Linked DNA regions of Schizosaccharomyces pombe. Changing the gene in region 1 together with any one later gene gives a genetic interaction. Each region holds a gene or a part of one and is shown in the gene's direction. Other genes may lie near its edges. The genes, in order: pdh1, SPOM_SPBC1348.10C, sin1 and mak1.

What was found.
Region 2: mutations in pdh1 (region 1) and SPOM_SPBC1348.10C together harm fitness less than expected from each alone (positive genetic interaction), as found in Schizosaccharomyces pombe (one large-scale study listed by BioGRID).
Region 3: mutations in pdh1 (region 1) and sin1 together harm fitness less than expected from each alone (positive genetic interaction), as found in Schizosaccharomyces pombe (one large-scale study listed by BioGRID).
Region 4: mutations in pdh1 (region 1) and mak1 together harm fitness less than expected from each alone (positive genetic interaction), as found in Schizosaccharomyces pombe (one large-scale study listed by BioGRID).

Annotation. Positions count from the first base shown.
Region 1 is NC_003421.2:191,080-195,186, reverse strand, and holds pdh1 (protein pdh1), read left to right. Parts: upstream 1-2,060; coding exon 2,061-2,741; 3' UTR 2,742-3,364; downstream 3,365-4,107. Other genes in the region: Set3 complex subunit Hif2, read right to left, coding at 1-493, 584-635; kinetochore protein fta7, read right to left, coding at 3,365-3,661, 3,785-3,949, 4,008-4,107.
Region 2 is NC_003423.3:25,605-30,213, reverse strand, and holds SPOM_SPBC1348.10C (phospholipase), read left to right. Parts: upstream 1-1,841; coding exon 1,842-3,794; intron 3,795-3,858; coding exon 3,859-3,927; 3' UTR 3,928-4,059; downstream 4,060-4,609. Other genes in the region: SPOM_SPBC1348.09 (dehydrogenase), read right to left, coding at 4,588-4,609. UniProt on the Schizosaccharomyces pombe protein: Catalyzes the release of fatty acids from lysophospholipids.
Region 3 is NC_003424.3:4,745,284-4,750,382, reverse strand, and holds sin1 (MAP kinase-interacting protein Sin1), read left to right. Parts: upstream 1-1,955; 5' UTR 1,956-2,094; coding exon 2,095-2,117; intron 2,118-2,160; exon of another isoform or gene 2,161-2,176; coding exon 2,177-4,060; exon of another isoform or gene 4,061-4,099; coding exon 4,100-4,190; 3' UTR 4,191-4,283; downstream 4,284-5,099. Other genes in the region: mid2 (septin ring organizing protein), read left to right, coding at 1-1,244; transcription factor TFIIE subunit Tfa1, read right to left, coding at 4,284-5,099. UniProt on the Schizosaccharomyces pombe protein: Component of the mechanistic target of rapamycin complex 2 (mTORC2), which regulates multiple cellular processes to control cell growth in response to environmental signals.
Region 4 is NC_003424.3:4,707,766-4,715,882, forward strand, and holds mak1 (phosphorelay sensor kinase Mak1), read left to right. Parts: upstream 1-1,943; 5' UTR 1,944-2,204; coding exon 2,205-2,273; exon of another isoform or gene 2,274-2,373; coding exon 2,374-7,224; 3' UTR 7,225-7,496; downstream 7,497-8,117. Other genes in the region: kinesin-like protein Klp3, read left to right, coding at 1-1,193. UniProt on the Schizosaccharomyces pombe protein: Involved in the control of the SAPK-dependent transcriptional response to peroxide stress. Also has a role in G2/M regulation.

The DNA of each region.
Region 1 (4,107 bases):
TCCGTGACAGGTGAACTGTTGTACACGGCTATAGGTCGAGCCGGATCCTTCTCTACGTTTGATTCATCGGCCATAGTAATGTCAATATCCCTTTTCTCAATTTTATCCTTAAATGGCATGACCGGAGATGAAGGCGACCCAGACCCCTTATCTTGTAAAATTTTAAGTTGGTGATCATTAGAATTATTGTGTTCGCAAAACCCATTGGTAGAGTCAGCTTTCGTCAGTGTCGTTTCGCATATATGAGGTACGGTGAGATAGAAAGGGAGTTTACAAGGATTTTCATTTACAAGACTTTCTCCATCTATAGATGTTTTGCTAGCTTCTTCGTTTGAGGAGTGATTATCAACGTAGTGCTTTTCGAGCTCCACGTACTGTAAACCCTTCTGCAGAATTTCGACTAAAGCGCCAACCTGGCAAGTACTTCCCCATTGTTTGTCTAAATTTTGGATGCCTGTTTCCCTTTCAAATGCAAATTTAGTATGCGAATAACCTACAACAAAAAACACGATAATGTTAACGAAACCGAAAAAAAGGAGAGATGAAGCGACTATGATTCACAAAAACCAACTATTTAACATACCGCATTCTTTCAAATATCTCCAGATTATATAATTAACTTGATTCGTATCCATTTCCTCCACAATTTCTAAATCTATAATGGTTCAAGCTACCCACGTAAATTAAAGTCAAATCTTAAGGTCTGTCAACGAGTTTCACTTAAAACCTCAACAGTCTTCTATTTTCTTTCTTTTCCTGTCAATACGGATTTAACTTGAAGGATTGTCGACGAATTCCCATTGAGACGGTTTTTAGTAGTTGTGGAAGTATTAGTTACCGAAATTTAACTAGATACGTGCGATGGCTGAAACTGTGGATTAAATCTTCCTGCTCTATTATTTGCACGTAGGTTACTATTTAAACAGCGCTTGATCAAAATAAAAATAATCGAGTGCCCACTTTTTGTATCCGAGGAATTTCAGTAAAGTTTTCCCTCTTTGAAGTCGGTCTCTTAACAACTTAAAACGGCAATGCTAATAGTTCTCTTCGACTTTTAATTTCAATCAAAATTCACTTTTAGAAGTTTGTGTTAAGGAGTTGGCAGCCAGATTGTATTTTCTGACTTTCATGAATTCGTATGCTATTTCTGTACTCAACATTCCATACAAGAGTGGTAGGAGCCTTATTTGGTTTTTTTATTTCTAAAATATACTGCTATTTTATTTGAATAATTTGAACATTCAGGGTCCGCTTATCATGCTAAGGAAATGTGATTTTCTATTACAAATGTTTCAAGGTCAAGCGAATGCTTCTTTCTGATATAAGACCGCTCTAAACAATGCATTCACTATATTCTAAGAAAGGAAAAGATGATTTGAATTATGACTAATAATTTAAGACATTATTCGATTAAGAGAATCAACACTTTGTTTTAACCCAGCAGAGCGATATGCAGCAATTTCTCATCAGGGTTTCCCTCAAAAAACTGCCAAATATAATAAAAATTAATTTCTCCCTTTACTATTTACTCTAACTTTGAATGCGTTTATCTCCTCAACCGAACCGATCATAGTTACTTGATAAACCAGGTTGTGCTCAAACAAATATATCAGCGAGTTTAAACTTCTTTTCTATCTTCTATTAGAATCGGCAAGCTACAAAGTTATGTAATTTTCTGGATGTTTATAATCTGGTCGAGCCATGACCTACCTATCATCTTACCCGCTACCGAATGTCCCTGTAAATGAGATTATTGAGAAGGCATTAAAAAACCAGGTGCAGTGTCTTATCTCAACTTCTCATTTTCTAATTTACTAACTGTATTAATCCATATAGGCAATTTCTTATTATGCTTATATTCCAGTGAAGCGATCTTTGGCCAATTCAGTTTTCGTAAGAGTTTCTATTTTTTAGATGCAAACAGCTAGAAATTTTATTTCGGATTGCACCATTTACTTAGAGGTATCCTGGTATTGTTTACTTTGAGACCAAAATTGTTGACGTCGATGATTTTTACGGTAACGAGAACTTTACTATTTTTTTTTACCTAAAATTTATCAATGAATCATTTCTCCAAGTTTTCGGTTACGAAAAGGCTTCTTATCCTAGAGGTATTGTTTTCTGCAATATCATTTGGAATCAGCATCTACATCAAAGTGTTTGGTAGGAGTTCTATTGTAACTTTCTTTCTTTTATGTTTTCATTTGGTTCCAAATGCTTTGTTCTTGTTTCCATGGACAATAATTACCACAAGTTTTGTTGATGCTAATGTTTTTACGCTACTTTCAAGTATTCTCATTCTCTCGGTGTATGGCGTTGAAATTGAACGTTCATGGGGTCATAAGGAGTACTTGCTTTTCTGTCAGTTTTTAACAGTGATTCCAAACATTGCTGTCTTGATACCTTGCTTTATTGCATACAAAATTACAGATTCACATTACTTGTTGGTCGCAATTATCCAAAGTACGACCGCAATTCAAGCAGGGATCTTAACTGCTTGGTACCAATTGTATTCGTGTAAAAAGGAAGAATCTTCAAACAAATTTCTCTGTCCATTGTCAAAATACCTTATTTATTTGTTCCTTTCAATTCACTTATTTTATGTTTTTCAAAGTTTTCCATGGACTTATTTCTGCTTAGCTGTCTCAGGCACTTGCATCTCTGAGCTATATGTGTTGTTTGTTCATCCTGTGGTTCAAGAACTTTTCCATTTAGAAAGTCATACTCAGCTTCCTATATGAACTTTCCGTTTTAATCAAAATCAATACTTTTTTACGCATTGCTATTGTTTTGACTAGCTATCTAAGACCCGTGTATTGCTTTGCTTTTATAATTATTGACTGCATGCGCAAATGAATTTAAAATCAGTTTGCTTATGATTTTGCGTCTATTTATTAAATAATATTGAAGGCTTTTATTAAAAATAAAAAACTAAGTCTTTTTTGGCAGTTACTACTGTTAAATAACAATCACGACCGTTTACGAGTAATACTACAATTCTTGACAATTCCGCAAGGCACAAAATCCTTTACGGCATCTTTTAATGATTAAATAAAGCAAAAGAAATTACTTTCAAAATCGATACTATAATGCTACTATAATTTTATGCTTACCCTACCCTAAACTCTAGCAAAAAGTCCTTTAATTGAATTAAGTCCGTAGCTGCTGGAATCTACCAAGCACTCCATTAAGTTGGCTTGTCGTCACACTATTTGTGAGAATTCAATGAAGACGGGACAATTAGTCTGAGTGCTTATATTAAAGGACGATTTAATCCAGTTTTTGGGTTGGTCATGGTTCGGGGCCAGGGACTATATGTTAACATGTAGAAGTCATCAAGTCTTAAGCTCTAGCTTTTCTATGTCTAGATATTCTTTATCTTAAGTTTGGATGACTTATTTAGGCCTATATTTTTTGTATTGTTTAGTCGTTGTAAAAGAAGAGTAGCTTTTTGTATAGTTTGACTTAATTGAACAGTTTTATTTGCATGGATTTGCATAGTTTTCGTAAATGGCTTTAATTTTTCTTTATACATATCCAATGTAGAGGTTTTAGAAGTATTAGAATCTTCTGTATTCAGTTTCTTTTGGAACGAGAAATCGTTGGAGTCTGAAAAATTATCATGGGATATCTTTAAGCCTTTCTTCAAATAAGGGTGAAGCTAAGAAAATATTAGTGATTGCTTGATTATTTACATAACTGAAACAATGGAAAACTCATTTTGTGTCATATGTTAAGATGAAGTCTTGAATAAAACATTCGCCTGTTCGTGTTTTAAACTTACTTTAGATTTTAAATCGGCAAGCCGTGAATTATTTATGGCCATGTTTTGTTTCATTTCTTCGTAAGATTTCTGTTCATTCTCCAAACGAGCAGTTTCAACCTTCAATTCCTGTTGAAGTACGTTAATATGGTCCAAATCACTGTATAATTGCTGTTCCAATTGCATCTAAAAATGTTAGTCATATCTCTTTCGTATGTATGCGTATCAAGACTTAATAACTTACATTCGAAGAAAGTAATTGAGAGAACAGTATTGACTCTTTTCTTTTCCTTGGTACAGGCAAATTTCTCAGAGGAGCTTCGATTTTTAAAAGTATATTCATG
Region 2 (4,609 bases), on another chromosome or scaffold:
ATAACCAAATTATGTTAAATCATACATGTAAGAAAGCTTGACAGATAAAAATAAACATAGACAAAAAGAAGCAAGAGATAATACAATACATCTCAAGTTTATTGCTCAGCTTGGTAACGTTAGGTAACGTGCTATAGAATACGTGAATTTATTTAAAACGTTATCTAAATTTTGCTGTGCAATTGAAAAGCGTCATGTAGGCAACATATTCATGAATAGAAGTTGATCAAATTGCTGATTAACAAATTCAAAAATTAGATAAAAAAAAGATTTATACCAATATAGGAATATAGTATGAGTAGATAATTCGTGAGATTAATATTTCTGTAAAAGTTAAGTTTATGTCGCATAATGTCGAGAAGCAGAACGGCAGTATAAAAGCGATACTAAACGGCGATTAGCAGTAAAAGAATATTCAACAATAATGTTAATTTTTTAATCAAGCAAATGAGAAAAAAATGAATCCAAAAATGATTAAATATAAATGCAATTATTAGCACTATCATTTTGAAACAAGTCCAAAACGACGTTGGCTACAATGACAAATATTAGAAACAGCATATTCTTGTTCAATGCTTATAGTTGGTAGTCATGAGTAGAGAATATAAATACAATGCACACGATGTAGATTTGATGTGGGTAAATGAGCAAGTAATTATTGATCGTGGAAATGAAATACGACCTATAAGCCTAAAGCATAATTGATCACTAAAAAGTGCTCTTTTATCTCCAACTTGAAGAAAAAGTAGAACAAATAAAAAGGCATCACAAGCTGCCATACAAAAACTATCAAACTTTGTTCAGCTAAATGTTTTGTGCATAACGATGATTAGGAAATTAGTGTGGAAAAGTTACAACCTTATGTACTGTTTCGGAAAGATACAGTAAAACAAACAATTCAAGAGAGATCTAAAGAGACAATCAGGTTAATGGCCTTTAATAATAAGAAATTACCGCGATGTACAACTTAAGCAGGTGTGACAAAAAGTACAAATGTACGTTCGAGCAATTAAAACTACTATTGACATATCATAAAATAATGTCAAATGTTGCAAAAAATAACAAACAAATTTGTTTTCTCGAGGTCAAGCGAAAAGATATTTACATGTATGAAAGTCGAATAATTGTGATAATAGCGAGGATTTATGAACAAAGACTACTCGAAAATACAAAACTTATTTCTCCCTAGTATATGAAGATCAAAATAACTTAAGCTAGTTGAAATGCATGCAATGTGTTAAACGTGGAATCATGAATTCGCTATGCATTTTATTGGCGTTTTCTTTTTCGTGTATCCGCGCTAGTACACTAGATTACGTTGCCTCTCACCATACATCGAATGTCCCTACTATCATCCTCCTACTTATATTTATAATCAATACGTGATCATCAGATCATTCCCTTACACGCTCCCATTTCAGATTATGCATCGTAATACTAACAAACTATTTTGTATAAGCGAAGTAATTAACTCCATTCGATGATGAGCGATCAGCTTCTGGTATTATTGTTCGCATACATATCTTGTAACATTTGTTACTCAATAGAAATTTAAGGTAACATTGATCATAAAGTAAAAGCTTGCCGTACTAAATTGTATCCGCCTAACGTTTGCGAATTTTGCAGCAAGCATTGTTTCGTATTTAAGATCACTTTTGTAGACAGATCTTGAGATAACGCGACAAATTTTGGGGCTTTTAAAGTTCGGAATTCTTTCTTCCGGATCAGAGATGTGTAGTGCGCCAGAGTAATATATGATTTAATATTCTTCCGTGTAGTACACTTTTCCATGCGAACTTCAATTTTTACAGCTTTTGTTTGAACTTTTTTTATTTTCTGCAATGTATGTCAACTATATTGGACTCTTTGCTTTCGTTCAAATTTCGTTGACGTTAGCTTATCCTCCCGGTCGTGTGGAGATTTCTGAAATATATGATTTTGAAGAATCTAGTTCGTATAAAGGACAAGATATTGATACATCCGTACTTTACACTTTGTCTAAAAGGAAACCTGCGCTCGTAAAACGAAGTACCGACGCTTCGTATGCCCCTTTCAATGTGACCTGTTCAAACGACAATCTGTTGAGGCCGGCTTCTGAAGGTTTAAATGAGGGCGAACAGAGCTATATCAACAAACGTATTTCTAAGGTTAACAGTGAACTCCGATCATTTATTTCTAAGACAGGTTTGAATGTTGACTTGGATAAGGTGGTTAACAGCTCGGATGGTCCACGTTTAGGAATTGCATTCTCAGGTGGTGGGTTACGGGCGATGGTTAATGGAGGTGGTGCATTCAATGCTTTTGACTCAAGATTCGAGAGTGACTCTCCACTTTCTGGTCTGCTGCAATCCGCGATGTATATCAGCGGTCTTTCTGGTGGTTCATGGCTTGTTGGATCAGTGGCTATTAATAATTTTACGAATATAACATACTTACGTGATAATGTCTGGAATTTGGAACATAGCGTTTTTGCTCCTCATGGGGATAATGTCATTGAAAATTTGAATTATTATAATGACTTGCGCAAAGAAATTGATCAAAAGAAACATGCGGGCTTTGACTGTTCTTTGACGGATTTATGGGGACGTGCTTTGTCCCGTAAACTTGTTGATGCTGAAAGGGGAGGACCAGGCATTACATATTCCAGTATGAGAAATCAAAGCTGGTTTCAAAATGCTGATTATCCTTATCCCATCATCGTTGCGGATAGCCGATTAGAAGAAGAAACGGCCATCCCTGCCAATACCAGTATCTTTGAGTTCACGGCGTATGAATTTGGTACATGGGACAATGGAATTAAAGCATTCATTCCAATGGAATATGTGGGAACTCACTTGTTGGATGGGGTTCCACCCGATAAGTCTTGCATTCATAACTATGATAATGCAGGTTTTGTTATGGGCACTTCAGCTACTTTATTCAACTCTTTTCTTCTTGACTGGAATGAAAATGTCAAAAAGAATGATACCTATTACGATATTCTTCATGCGATTCTTGAAGATCTTTCTAAGCATCAAGATGATATTGCTCCTTATCCCAATCCTTACCAAAATTATACTACTTCCAATACCTCTGTAGTGAATGCGTTCGAACCGTATGATACTATTGATCTAGTTGATGGTGGTGAGGATAGGGAAAACATTCCCCTTTGGCCTTTGTTACACCCACAACGATTTGTGGACGTTGTATTTGCGATTGATTCGACTTATAATGATCCTTATGGTTGGCCCCTTGGATCTTCCATTGTTGCTACATATGAGAGAGTTGTAACCTTTAATGCGAACAAGAGTGTTGATGTGCGTGGATTTCCATATATTCCGGACGAAAACACTATTATCTCTTTGGGACTAAACACTCGTCCTACGTTTTTTGGATGTGACGGTAAAAATACTACAGCAGGAAATCATGATGTAGACAATAATACCCCACCTCTCCTTGTATACTTTCCAAATTACCCTTGGACTTATTATTCCAATATATCGACATTTACTATGAGCATGGACGACAAGATGGCTAATGGAATTCTTGAGAATGCATTTATGTCGACTACGCAAAACAATAATGAATCTTTTGCAGTTTGCTTAGCATGCGCTATAATTCAACGCTCTTTGGAACGCAAGAAATTGAGTACTCCTACCCAGTGCTCTTCTTGTTTCCAAGAATACTGTTGGGACGGAACTCTTGCAACTAGTACGGCTTCTGTATATGATCCTACCGTAATGTCTGCTGCGACAACATCTCGTGCACCGTCAGGCACAACCTCGGGTACAGCCTCTAGTACAACATCTTCATCTGTATGTTCTCAAAAATTCACGTTGATTAAACTATTTTTTTTTTCATCGCTAACTTTTGTTCTAGGTAGCATCAGCCACTCCCACTCATAAACATTGGTGGGACTCGATTTTCGAAGCGAAAGAAAATCCGTAAAAAGATTCCATTGATGTTGTTTCAATGGATTCTCAGGCATGTGAGAAATTTAGAATAGATAGATTTACCTTTATTGTACTTGGTTACGAATTCGTTATGAAAGAGAACTAAGGATTTTCCTCATTCGTGAGACTGCTCAGTTAAACCCTTTACGTTTGATGGAGCTATGTAAACGGGTAAATGAATAATTTGTTATCTCTAAACTTTTTTAGATAAATGCAACCGGTCGAATGGATGAACAGGCTTAGTTGGCTCAATCTGAGATCGATGTGCATTCACGTAAAGACACGAAACGAAAGAATGTAAGCATGAAAACGATTAAATACAACATTGCTTTAAATTGATATATACGTACAATTGGGAATCACAAGTTGAATGAAAAATAGTCCAAGATCGTTGTGCTAATGATGAACATTAAATGATAGATTGTTTTAAAAGCTCCCGGTTTTTTAAAAAATAGATAATAATAAAATTGACTACAAACATTTAAAAGTAAGACAGAGACTTGTTAATTCAATATATGAGGAGTCACTACTAAATATTTTACTGTATTTTGAAACTTCCTAAAGGAAGGAAACTAAATAAATGCTGAAAGATTTATCAACAGTTTGGTACAAAAAACAGTAAAAGAGGAATATTCAATTGGTAGAACGAAATCGTTTAAAGACCCATTTGTTTTCGG
Region 3 (5,099 bases), on another chromosome or scaffold:
TTACGAGCTCCATCACCTCTTTAGATTCCCCTCATGTTCTTGACGAAAATGCTCCGATACCGCTTCTTCCAAAAGTGGTTTCTTTACCAGATCCTCGCTTTACAAATGTTCTTTCAGCCTTTGACGCTTTGACTAGGACATATTTGCTACGACAGAATTCTAAAGTTGTACATGCCACTAGTCAGAAACAAGAAATGCAAACTTCGCGGCGCGTTGTCAATTCTTGTTATATGCCAGAATCGTTATCGCGAAATTTGTCCAGTAGTTTGCAACAAACCGGCGGGAGTGGAAGATTGTTTGTCCGTCTTATGGAAATCAGAAACTTAACTATTCCTTTGGCATCGGGGATGACCACTAGGTTCACTTATACAATCTCTGGTAAGCACATTCAAGTACCATGGAACGCCTTACACTCTACTACTAAAATTGAAAATGAGTATACTTTTGATGAAAGTATTAGTTCTTCAATTGTATGTACGCTCCGTGCGGCTTACGATCCACCTAAGGTTCGCACTCGTTCTACACTTGGAAAAGTATTTTCAACAAATAAGAGAAAGTCTATGACTACCGACCCCGTTTCAGAAGCACTTCATGGATTTGTTTCTGAAGATGGAACTTTCGGCGAAGTTACCATTAACACTGATTCTGTAAGCCGAACCGCACTAGGCCGTTGTCAATCTATGGTTCTACCAATCATGAACAAATGGACTGTTGATCCGGCAGCTAAAGATGTCAAGCCTCTCCCTCGAAAAGTAGGAGAACTCGAAATCCACGTATTTTTCTTACCAGCGCTTCCTGTCTCTCTGAAAGAACTTCCCGCTTCAATCGAGTCTGCCATGTATGACTTAAAGCTTGCTGAATGGGATAGAACTTTATTGTGTGATGGTTATCTATGTCAACAAGGTGGGGATTGCCCTTATTGGCGTCGTCGCTATTTTCAATTAATAGGATCAAAGTTAGTAGCTTTTCAACAATTCTCTAAAGTTCGCAGAGCAACGATTGATTTGTCTGAAGCCACACATATCGTGGATGACAACCATTATAGTGATGAAGAAGAACTAGAAGGGTATCTGTATTTCGAATCGGGTTTCCGTATCATTTTCAGTAATGGGGACTACATCGATTTTTACGCTGAAACCGTCGGCGAAAAAGATGAGTGGATGTCTACACTTCGTCAGCATTTGGGGCAATGTTCAATGGTTCACAAAAATTGGACCAAATCATTTCTTTCGCTGAGTTTTTAAATTGACCATTTGCTTCGACCTCACTTTTTCTATTTAAATCACATTTGGTCTTTATCTTCTCCTTTATCTATATCGTCTTGCATTTTTCATTGGTTTTGTTGTTTCCCTCGCATAATACATAATGTTCATTTTATCTACCATCGAGAAGCTAGATTCGGTTGAAATGAGCTCGTTTTATATAAGCTGTTAAAAATCGGATAGCAATTACTTACTACTCCCCATGTATATTTATACTTCAGTTGCAAAATACTTCATTTTTGAAAGTTTCCCTTGATCCGAAGAAACGTTGTCAAAATAAGTTGTCTCAAAACGTTTATCTTGGCTTTGTAAATAAATCAAATTCCTTAAAATACTCTAGCTTGGCGTTGTCGAGTGAATTTATTAAGTCGTAAGCTTGCCATTTGAGAAACTTCAAAAAATAAAAATTCCACAATAATTTAATTACATTATTCTGTAAATAATTAATACCGTAATTGCTATATAGTTCAAATACCATTTTTAGCTGTTTCGCAATATCTAAAACGTATATGAGATCACTTTTTTTCATTGTCTAGCGTTTTTGTACTTCAGTTAATAACTGTTTGAATTAATAGTTTCGTTCATATTTTGCTGTCTTTTGAAATTTGGTGGTACTTTACGGTGTTACCCCCAACACTTAATTAAATGCTTAGCGGGGGATACATAGCAACTGAAATAAAGCACGCGGCGTCCGTCACCAACGTTTCACATAATTGAGTTTACAAATTTTCTATATTAAGGTGCCATAAAAAGTATGGTCGCTAAGTATTCAAACTTCGTTGAAATTAAATATTTTATAAAGTCTGTAAATGCGATATAATAAGGACTCAGAATGGAATTAACAAGAGAGAAAGTGTAAGGATACTATTTTTTTTCCTATGAAACTTATACAAACTAATACGTTTATTTTACAGTCTTTTGTTAACATTTTTGCGAATGCAATATTCTCATATACTTCCTGACTCAATCGAAAATCGAGTTATATCTACTGAGGCCCCGGAATGGGAATTGGACAAATCATTGCAAGACTTGTTGATTCATGATTATGATTATTCTAAAACTTCGTTTTCTTCAAGTCCCCCGATTGTCGCTAATGACACTGTATCCAATGTCCGAAAGCCGAGTGATACTAAACAAGTAAATGGTGCTGGGGGTCAAGTTAATCATTCTCGAGCTGAAGATTCTGATTATGCTACTTCTGACTTATCCGAATCTTCAGATGTGGGTGATGACGATAACTCGTGTATATTTTCTTTTAGCAAAGTCCCAATGCAGAAGGATGTTGCAAGTATAAAAGAAGAGGAAAGACTGGACCCCAAAATTTCCACATTAAATAATATTGATGCTATCGCAAATCTTAAGCTTACCAACATGGTAGAATCCTCGCAGGCAGTGAATTTAACCTCGTCCAAACAGTCTTCCATAAACCAGCAAAGCAGTGTTTCTACGGATTATGATGATCTACGGTCGATTTCTGAGGAATCATTTCATTTAAGTCAAGGAGAAATTCCTCTTACTTTTCCAATGAATTCTTCCTTAACTGACACTGAAGCTGATGCAGTTGTTGCGGTTGATGCTCTTTTTCCTGGTAAGCAACGCGGAACACACAATACAGTCAATAAAGCAAGATCTGTTTCGAACGCAAAGGCTCCTACATCTGCTCTTCGTGCATTACTTGAACATAAAGAAAACAGTAGCCAGAATGGGCCATTGGCTGAAAATTTTGCTACTTTTTCTGGACATGCAGAATCAAATGCCCTCCGTTTAAACATTTATTTTCCTTCGAGCGAAAGTCCTTCAAAGCCCTTATTTGTAGAACTCCGAAAGAATGTTTTGGTCTCTGAGGCTATCGGTTATATTTTACTTCAATACGTTAACCAGCAACTCGTGCCCCCAATAGAAGATGAGGCTCAAAATCCGAATTATTGGAATTTACGTATTGTTGAAGATGACGGGGAGCTAGATGAAGATTTTCCCGCTTTGGACCGTGTAGGTCCATTATCAAAATTTGGTTTTGACGCATTTGCTTTAGTTAAAGCCACTCCTGCCCAAATAAAGGAAAATCAAGCTGCCTACCCGTTTAAATCGAAGCATCCAACATCAATTCCTGAAGCCAATAACAAAACGCATATTCGGCATACTAGTTCAACTTCAAGTCAATCACAAAAGCAAGCTCAGGATGTCAAAGATACACTTAATACTTCTCATGTCGTACAGGTACGACTTCCCCCATACGGGGATAATGCTCGATTTTGCAATATTGAAATATCAAAAACTACTAGATTGGCTATGGTGTTGAACCAGGTGTGTTGGATGAAGCAATTGGAGCGATTTAAGTATACTCTGCGAGTTGCTGGATCTGATACTGTTTTACCACTTGATAAAACATTTAGTTCACTAGACGGAAATCCAACTCTAGAACTTGTTAAAAAGAAGGTACGCGATAAAAAAGGAAGTACCCAACAATTGCCAACCTCCTCACCACAAAATTCCGTTTATGGATCTATTAAGAAAGATGCACAATCTTCAACATACAATGCAACAGATATTATGTCGAGCAATACCTATCAAGAATTTCTTGTATGGAAACGACAACCTGTTTCATTTATGGGAAGACATGAGCGTCTACTAGCTATTGATGGAGAATACGTTCACATAATGCCGTCTGAATCCAAAAATATATTTGAAACGCCTAAGACGTCCAGTATACATGCTGGATCGATTATTTTATGCAAGCAGTCTAAAAAATCACCATGTAATTTTAAAATGATTGTGTCCAAGAATAGGGAAACTAAGCGGTAAGAAATTTTTTAACGCTAATAAGCTAACGAGTTCAGGTATGATTTTGAAGTTTTGTCCGCCTTGGAAGCTGCCATTATAGTTAGCAGGATACGTGCACTGATGAATACTGTTAAAAAAATAAATTAACATTTATTTATTACAAAAAGATTCTATGAATACATAGGTATAAACACCTTTGTTTTTTGGTATCACATTGCTCTCTCCCCTATGTCATTTTTATTAAACATCTTCAAAATCAGCTTCATCTTCATCGTCTTCATCGTCCTCATTAAATCCATTAATAATAACATTCTTTTTACTTTCTTGCATTTCCGTATCACCATCAGTAATACCATTTGTAGAAACAATAGGTGGTAATGAATTGTTTTCTTCTATCGATTTTGTTCTTTTATTTTGGATATCACTATCTGAATTTAGGTTCTCGGTTTTACGCTTGACCGACCCATAATCAGTACTTTTGTTTTGAAGAGAGGTAGCCGTCGTAACGTCTAAGAAGTCATCATCCTCCTCATCATCTACGTTTTCACTGTCCATAAACTCGCTTTCCTCTTTTTGCTTTGCACGAAGTGTTGCGTAATAAGCATCTAAGGCGCTCTTTTCAGAAGTAATATCTGTTTTAGTGTCTTGAACCTCATTAACAGTTTCAGTTCTAAAACTATGAAGTGCGGCATCTTTAGCTCCAGCACGAGTAATGGAGCCAGAAATTGTTGATGTTGCATGCCATTCGGGAAGAATGTTTTGAGCAGCTTTGACTTGCTTGTCGCAATTCCTTTCACGCTTTTCATCAGTCTCTTTATCAGCAGAGAAATCAACTGTAATAGATGGCGAAGAGGTGGAAAGACGGACGTCTGAATTACTTTTTGACAAGTTTTGTTGCGACAAATTTTGGGTGTCTAACGAAACAGGAACCGCATGTTCTAAAGCAGATTGGAAATTGTTTTGTGGTACGACAATTTCATCCACCCTTTTCAATGCATCGATTATACCATTAACTTGTCCCATCAGTTTTCCTAGCCTTTTCTGACTAGACATCAT
Region 4 (8,117 bases), on another chromosome or scaffold:
AACTTCAGGGAGTTTATGTTCAAGGTTTAAAAACGATTTACGTATCAAGTGAAACGGAGGCATTGGATATTTTAAATAAAGGTATGGGGTCACGTGCCGTTGCAAGTACGTCGATGAATGCGCAAAGTTCACGGTCTCATTCTATTTTTGTACTCGAAGTTGTCCAAACGGACACTGAGTCCGGCGAAACTCGACGAGGCCGGTTGTTTTTAGTTGACTTGGCAGGTTCCGAAAGCGTAGGAAAAAGTGGAGCAGTCGGGCAAACCTTAGAAGAAGCAAAGAAAATAAACCGTTCTCTTTCAACTCTTGGAATGGTTATTAATTCTCTCACAGACAGCAAATTATCACATGTTCCTTATAGAGATTCCAAGTTAACGCGTATTTTAAAAGAGTCTCTTGGTGGAAATTCTCGGACCACTCTAATTATTAACTGTTCACCAGATTCATACAATGCAACAGAGACCTTATCTACTCTTAGGTTTGGACATCGTGCAAAGAGCATCAAAAACAAAGCGGTAGTAAACTCAGAACTTTCTGTTGATGAAATGAAAAGACAGCTGTATATTTATAAAGATGCTTTGTCTCGTTGCGTTTGTGGAGCCAGAATTAACAATAACTTAGACTATAATAATTGTCATTCTAACGTATGGTCAGGCGAGCATTCCCTCACACTGTCAAATCTCGCCGAAAAATCCAACTTAAAGGAAGCAGAAATCATTCAAGGAAATAGAACAATTCAGGAAAGTAATAATGACAGAGACGAAAGCACAGTTGCTTCGATACACAGACATAACTTTGATTCTGATTCTATCAATCGTTTGTATGCTGAAGCACAACTTGAACTTAAACAACGAGATGGTGTTTTATCATCCACTAAACAGCAATTGTCAGACCTTATGACTGCATTGGGCGATGCTCAGGAGCGGTATGTTGAGCTTGTTAAAAACCACAGAGTAAATTCAAATCTTACTGCAAACAACTCATTAAATGACAAACCGGGTTTTACAATAGAACAGAAAGATAAAAATTTTTCGATAAATAACGAGAGAAACAATTTTTTACAAAAACTGAGTACTTTGGATTCCTCACTGGCTGCTCTAGTAAATGTTCAACGAAAATTGATTAAAGCTTTAATTTCCAAAGAGCGACCTCAAAATGGAACAGTAATTAAGAAAATTCAAGGGGGCACTTAAAAGCTACACTTTTTTACTCTGCTTTGCGAAGGATTATATATGTTTAATTAATTTCTTTAGAGTTGTTGAGCTCACATTTAATCATGAAATATTGCATCTCGTCTAGCTGCTTTCTGAATAAACTAATTTTCTGACTAATTATTTATGCAGCTTCTTTTATATTGCTGCAGCATTATAATATAAAAGAAAACAGCTACGCAGCAATGCATTGTTTATATGCTTATTCAGCAAATGTGTAACATCTCAAATGATGATGTAATAACAATTCAATAAAAATTTACCGTTATAATATAATCAGCGAATTTAGTAATCTGAGACTACTATTCTTTAGCAAGGATTGACTATTGGCTAAGCAATCATTACCTTTTTTAAGCTACAACGAACTGTAGTTTAAGTGTTACTTGCGATGTATATAATCTTATGTAGGATGTTTATCGTAGATGGTAAAATGTTGTATCAATATAATTATGATATTGAATACACTAACATAACCACACATATATGGCTTATAACTGAAGTCAGGAAAGAAGGTTTGAATGTATCAACATAATGCATTGTTATAAAACTACTAGTATAGAAGATTTACACTAAGGATGGAAATACGGAGAATCATGAATATTATGAAAAGTTGAACTAACGCAGCACAGTATAGTGTAGTGACTTGTTTCTAACAGAACGATCATATTTACTAGCCACCAATCTTCGCTAAACAACATTTACGCGATCTTCAATATCCATTTACATTTTGCTAACACAACTTGTTGAGTTGTTTCATTTCCCTATTTCGAACACTTTTTACCAATCTTCAGTGCTGTAAAGTCGCTAGGAAAAAAGCGTTTTAAATGGTACGCTTATAATTTCCATTGCTGGTTGCCGTGGTCAAATAACTCAAATACATCAGTTTTTTATTTGAAACGATCTTTATAAGATAGCACTTTCTTTTTGGTAATTACAGTTGGAAACTTTGTTTTATTTAGTATCTATACTGGCCTGTAAATTTAGTCTAAAAAAATGAGGCCACCTGACGATCAAATCAACAATAACGTTGGTTCTAATTCTCACTTGGAAAAGTTGAAAGAGGTAAGTGATTTCAATACTTGGATTCTCCTTTTTTAAATATGAAATAAAATGTGATATCTCTTGTTACTTAATTAATTTAAATTACTAACGTTTGAATAAGGCCATGGACCACCAGCTGCAAAAATCATCAAAAATTGTAGGATCGTTTACTAATTCTCAAAACTCTTCTGTTGGCTCTGTTCATTCTCCGATACTTGAATCTCCCACCAGTTTAAATAGGCAGCATCGAAATTCATTTTCTTTCAATAATGTATCTTCTCCTTCACTAGAGGATGAGCGACTTATTAATTTTCCCCGAGTAAATCCAAATCGATTGATGACATCCAAACGTCCCAATGAGTTATTTAAAACCTCCTCAATGAGTTCAGATTGCTATTCTCCTCAAAAATCTAGGGAATCACTAAATTCATTATGCCATTCACCTGCTCCATCCGTTTCTTCTTGTGGAAATGCTTTGAACAACGATAATACTTCTGCTTCGCACTCACTAACTGATGAGCAACCATTTGAAACAGATTCATCCGCTAACTTATTTAAGCAGTTACAGGAGAAGCGTAACCGTACCATTGGAAATGTGTATGAAATGGCTTGCTTATTGGTCTTTAAAACCGGTTTGATGAATTTCTGGAAAAACATTATTGACTTTTTCGCTCAGCAGTTTTTTTCCACTCAAATATCTGTTGTAGAACCGCGTGACCTTTCTGACATATACAATACTCCTTGGCAACTCAGATGTTATTACGATGGCGGTTCCCATTATGATCCGTATAGTAACCCTATAAGTGTTAATGACAACCTTGCTAGCAGTTCTTATGTTACCGTAGTTGCTTCGGATGGTTCAAAGGGTATTATATACAAAGATCCAGCTTCTCTTAAACATGAAGGGGATTTGCTTATTGATAGCAAAGTTGTACAAACAGTCTTGGAGCGTGCGACATTGCTTGTATATACACGTAAACAACAGCACATTGTTAAAAACACCAAGGTTCATGATAATGATTACTTTAGTTCTATACCTAATGTTGATGATATTCGCAGCATTAAGAATTCATGGAAAGTTTTTCATGATGAAAAACTTAATGAATTGAAAAAGCAGGTTGAAATTAGTGCTTCTGCAGCTCAGTTAAATGGACTTTATCCACAGAAAAAGAGAGCATTTGTTTCACATTTCAGTCAGAATCGTAAACCGTATTCCCAAAGTGACATTTCAAAAGCACAAAGTTCGTCTTTTTCGGAAGAACCTTCAAACATTTATGATGAGTATGAACAAAATTTACTTTCTCCTTGGTCAAGATCTCCAGTTGCTAGTCCCTCCATTCAAACAGATCCTAATAGGAATCCATTCTTCCAAAATTGCTTGCAAGAATCTTCTTTCGCTACTGAATCGTCAACAGAGAAGTCTGCTTCAGAGTCCGTATCAGAAACAGCTGTTAATGATGATTGTAAAGGTATGAATTTTTCTGGTAACAGGCGTCAAGAAGATCATTTGAACGACTTCACCAGTTTTCCTACTGAAACTGCTGTCAGTATTGTACATGTTCCTCTGATGTTTCCTTGTTCGGATCAAACTTCAAGCCGTGGGAGAGCTCCAATTGCAATTCTTTCTTTCAAGTCCAATTTAGTTCCTTATCCGGAAAATTTAATAGCCTCCATAGAACGTTTGATACCCTTTATTTTTTCTTCATACTCAAATTCTCAATCTGTTCCGTTACTTCCTTGTCCTACACAAAGGCATCTATTATTTAACACGTCTAGCACTGACAATACCAAGGAGTTGAGTATGAGCGCGAGCTCCGAAAACTCTGATTGTCCTCATAAAGAAGGAGAGTGCGTAGGCAGCTTTTGCAATATCAATGCTAAAGGATCTTCTCTTAATAACATACCTAAATTGCCTAGGTTTGTACCAGTTCCTTCTGAATTTTTTAAAAAAAACCAGCGATCATGGGTTACTTTAAAGAAGCATCGTTTGCTAGCTAGATTGAAGTCTCGAATTAGCAAAAAGAATTCTAAAGTGAACGAGAATTTGAGATTCTCGCTAAATGATGGTGAAAATTATTCAAATGAAACTATTACTCTAAAGAAGGATGAAATTGTTTTAGATAAATCAAAATCATATGCCTGTTGCACTTCTGAATCTCACAAGTATGTGCAAGGGCATTGTGGTGGTCAAGCGCCTCCTTTTCCCTTACTAAAGGTTATAATTGATTCTATACCGGTTCATGTGTTTACTGCGGATCCGGGAAGTGGAAAACTCACATGGGTTAATAGAAAAACTCTTCTTTACTGTGGTTTAAATATGAATGAGCAAATAGAGCTACAATTTAGTCGAATTCATCCTGATGATCTGCCAAACTTTTTAAATGACTGGAAATCTTCATTATTCTCTGGTAGTGGTTTTTATCATGAAATTCGTTTGCAAAGGTTTGATAATGTTTATCGATACTTTATCTGTCGCGCGGTTCCTTTACGGGATTGCACTGGATCTGTGCTACATTTTTTTGGAACAATGACGGATGTCCATGATCAAAAGTTGGCAGAACGAGAACTACAAAAACAATCAGCTATAGCCGCAAATGAAAACAGCTACAGGTCTTTAGCTGAAGCTTCTCCTCAAATTGTTTTTGCCGCAAATGGTAAAAATGGAATTATTTATGCAAATGCGCAGTGGTTAAGTTATTCAGGTCTTTCACTGGAATCTTCATTGGGACTTGGGTTTTTATCTGCTGTATATCACGCTGATCGCAAGAAATGTTTATTGCCTGAATCTTTGGAGGGAACGTTTAATAACCAAGACGAAAGTAATGGTACCAAAACGTTTGCGGCGGAGATACGTTTTAGATCTACCGATGGTCATTATAGATGGCATTTGGTGAAATCTGTTTGCGTAAATAATTCTGCTGATACGTCTACTAATCTCTGGTTAGGAACTTGTACTGATATTCACGATCATAAAATGTTGGAAGAAAAGCTCCAAGAATCTAACATTGAAGCTCAAAGAATTGTTCGGAGCAAAATGCAGTATCTTTCCAATATGTCTCATGAAATTCGAACCCCTCTTATCGGTATTACAGGCATGGTAAGCTTCTTGTTGGAAACTCAAATGTCTGCCGAACAGCTGAGTTATGCACGTATTATTCAGCAATCAGCTAAGTCTCTTTTGACTGTTATCAATGATATTTTGGACCTTAGTAAAGTCAGAGCTGGAATGATGAAGCTAACTAGCCAACGCTTTTCTGTACGAGCTATGATGGAAGATGCAAACGAAACTCTAGGTACCCTCGCTTTTTCAAAGGGAATAGAATTGAACTACACGGTTGACATTGATGTTCCTGATATAGTATTTGGGGATAATATGAGAATGAGGCAAGTTGCTTTGAATGTGATCGGAAATGCTATTAAATTTACGAATGTTGGTGAAGTTTTTACTCGTTGTTCCGTTGAAAAGATTGATTACTCAACCAATACTGTTGTTTTAAAGTGGGAATGCATTGATACCGGTCAAGGGTTTAACAGAGATGATCAATTACAAATGTTTAAACCGTTTTCTCAAGTAGAGAGTTCTACATTACCAAGACATGGTGGCTCAGGTCTTGGATTAGTTATTTCAAAAGAGCTTGTTGAGCTACATAATGGTAGTATGTCCTGTCAAAGTAGAAGAGGCGTGGGAACGCGCTTTATGTGGACTGCAACGTTTACAATGGATAAAACTCCTCTAAAATTTGAACCCCCAGATGGTTGTTGTCCAGTCTGTTTTTGTCCATACGAAAAAAGCAAACAAAGCACAGAAGACTATTATTGCGCAGACGATGGAAACGATAAAAGCGCGACGAATTTTGTAAAATTGGCCGTAAATAAAGCAGATCCCGGAAGAGAAAGCAACCGACGTAAACTTGAATCGGACAAAAATGTTCAATCCAACAAATATGTGAATCCTTTCGCTTCTGAATCGGAATTTTGTCGATGCGGCGCATCTGCTGATCCATACACAGTTCTATTTTGGAGACTCTATAGAAACAAACCTTCTGGGATCAAGTTGGATAAAAGTGCTTTAGCCGTTGTTGTATCACACACTAAATACAGTAGTGAAGCGATTGGCAACATGCTTCAATCAATTATCGATATAAGCTCATTTAAAGATATCGTAAGGTATGGAAATACCTATGAAGCCTTTGAAGAATTGCTAGAGAATCCTATGCAATCCAAGGTCACCCATATTATATTAAATCTTCCGGACATAGAAGCATATGTTTTATTTGTCAAATCACTGCAACTTTGTAGTCTATACAAGGATACAAAATTTATTTTGGTGACTTCCACTCGACAAAAAGAATCATTATCTAAGATTTTTTCAGATAGCGAGGATTGTAATTCGGAAAGCATCCATTACGTTTTAAAACTTGTGAAACCATCCAAGTTTTTTCCATTATTTTATTCTGATTCTGAGGAAAAGGGGAAAATCGGTGCACTTAATGATATGACTCGAAAGGCTGCAATGGAGCAGAAGGCTGATGCTGAAACACTCCGATATAATCTGGCAAAGTCTGGCTTTAGCGTGTTGTTGGCGGAAGACAACATTATCAATATTAAGGTTATAAGCCGTTACCTTGAAAGAATTGGTGTCAAATTCAAGGTCACCATGGACGGTTTGCAATGTGTTGAAGAATGGAAACGTGAAAAGCCTAATTTTTACTCTCTTATTCTAATGGATTTACAAATGCCTGTTATGGATGGTTACCAGGCATGTAATGAAATTCGTAAATACGAATTGGAAAACGATTACCCTAAAGTTCCTATAGTTGCACTTAGTGCGAATGCTTTACCTCATGTTGTTTTAAGCTGCAAAGATAGTGGTTTTGATTCTTACCTTGCCAAACCTATTACTTTGCAACACTTGTCCTTAATCATATCTGGCATACTTAATTATACGAACCAATCAAAGTTACACAAATGATTTGATATTTAATCTTCACTCACTTTTGCTTGTATTTTTAGAAAGGATCTCACTGTTTTAATGCTTTTATTTTTACTTTATATTTTTTCTTTGTTTTGATCAAAAGCTTATTTAGTGCCTATATTTATTTAAATTGACAACTTCTTATTTTGAATATTTTCCAAAATAATAATTATCTAAGCATCTCATATTTTATTTTATTAACTTTTTAATGCATTTATATTTCCAGCGCCCAGAACCAGTATAATAATATTAAATATCACATATTCCCCTTGTTTAATGTAATGTGTATTTTATTGGCAAGTTAAAAAAAAAATTGTATTGTGTGCTAATCAATCAGTTTTGAAATACAAACCAAATTAAAGTATAGGAAGCAGTCAAATAATCAATTCGAGGATACATTCTCATTGTTAAATGCAAACTTTAGGTAATTCGTAATTAGCTCTTGTAGCTCAGTGGTAGAGCGCTTGCCTAGTAAGCAAGAGGCCCAGTGTTCAAGTCACTGCTGGAGCAAATTTTTTCCCTTACCATAAGCGTAAATTATGCTACACTTCACTATGCATCACTACATATATTTGTTCACTGTGTAGACAGGATTTTTATTCTAATTCCAAGGGGAATGCTATAAGCCAGTCCAGAAAGAAAAAACAAGTTCTTGGTTGGTATCAATACCTTTCGTCGTACAAAGTATATTTAGTTCAATTACTGGCTTTGCCTACAACCGATTAGATAATGCATCAATACTTATACTACGTTATATAGTATTACTATTTTACATGTCAGCAATACTACACTAGCTACATGTAAGCTACGCAGTTTGGTATCTGATTTAAGGATACGTAGAACTGCGGTGAGTTTTCCTTGTGGTCTATTATATTACAATACACAGGTTG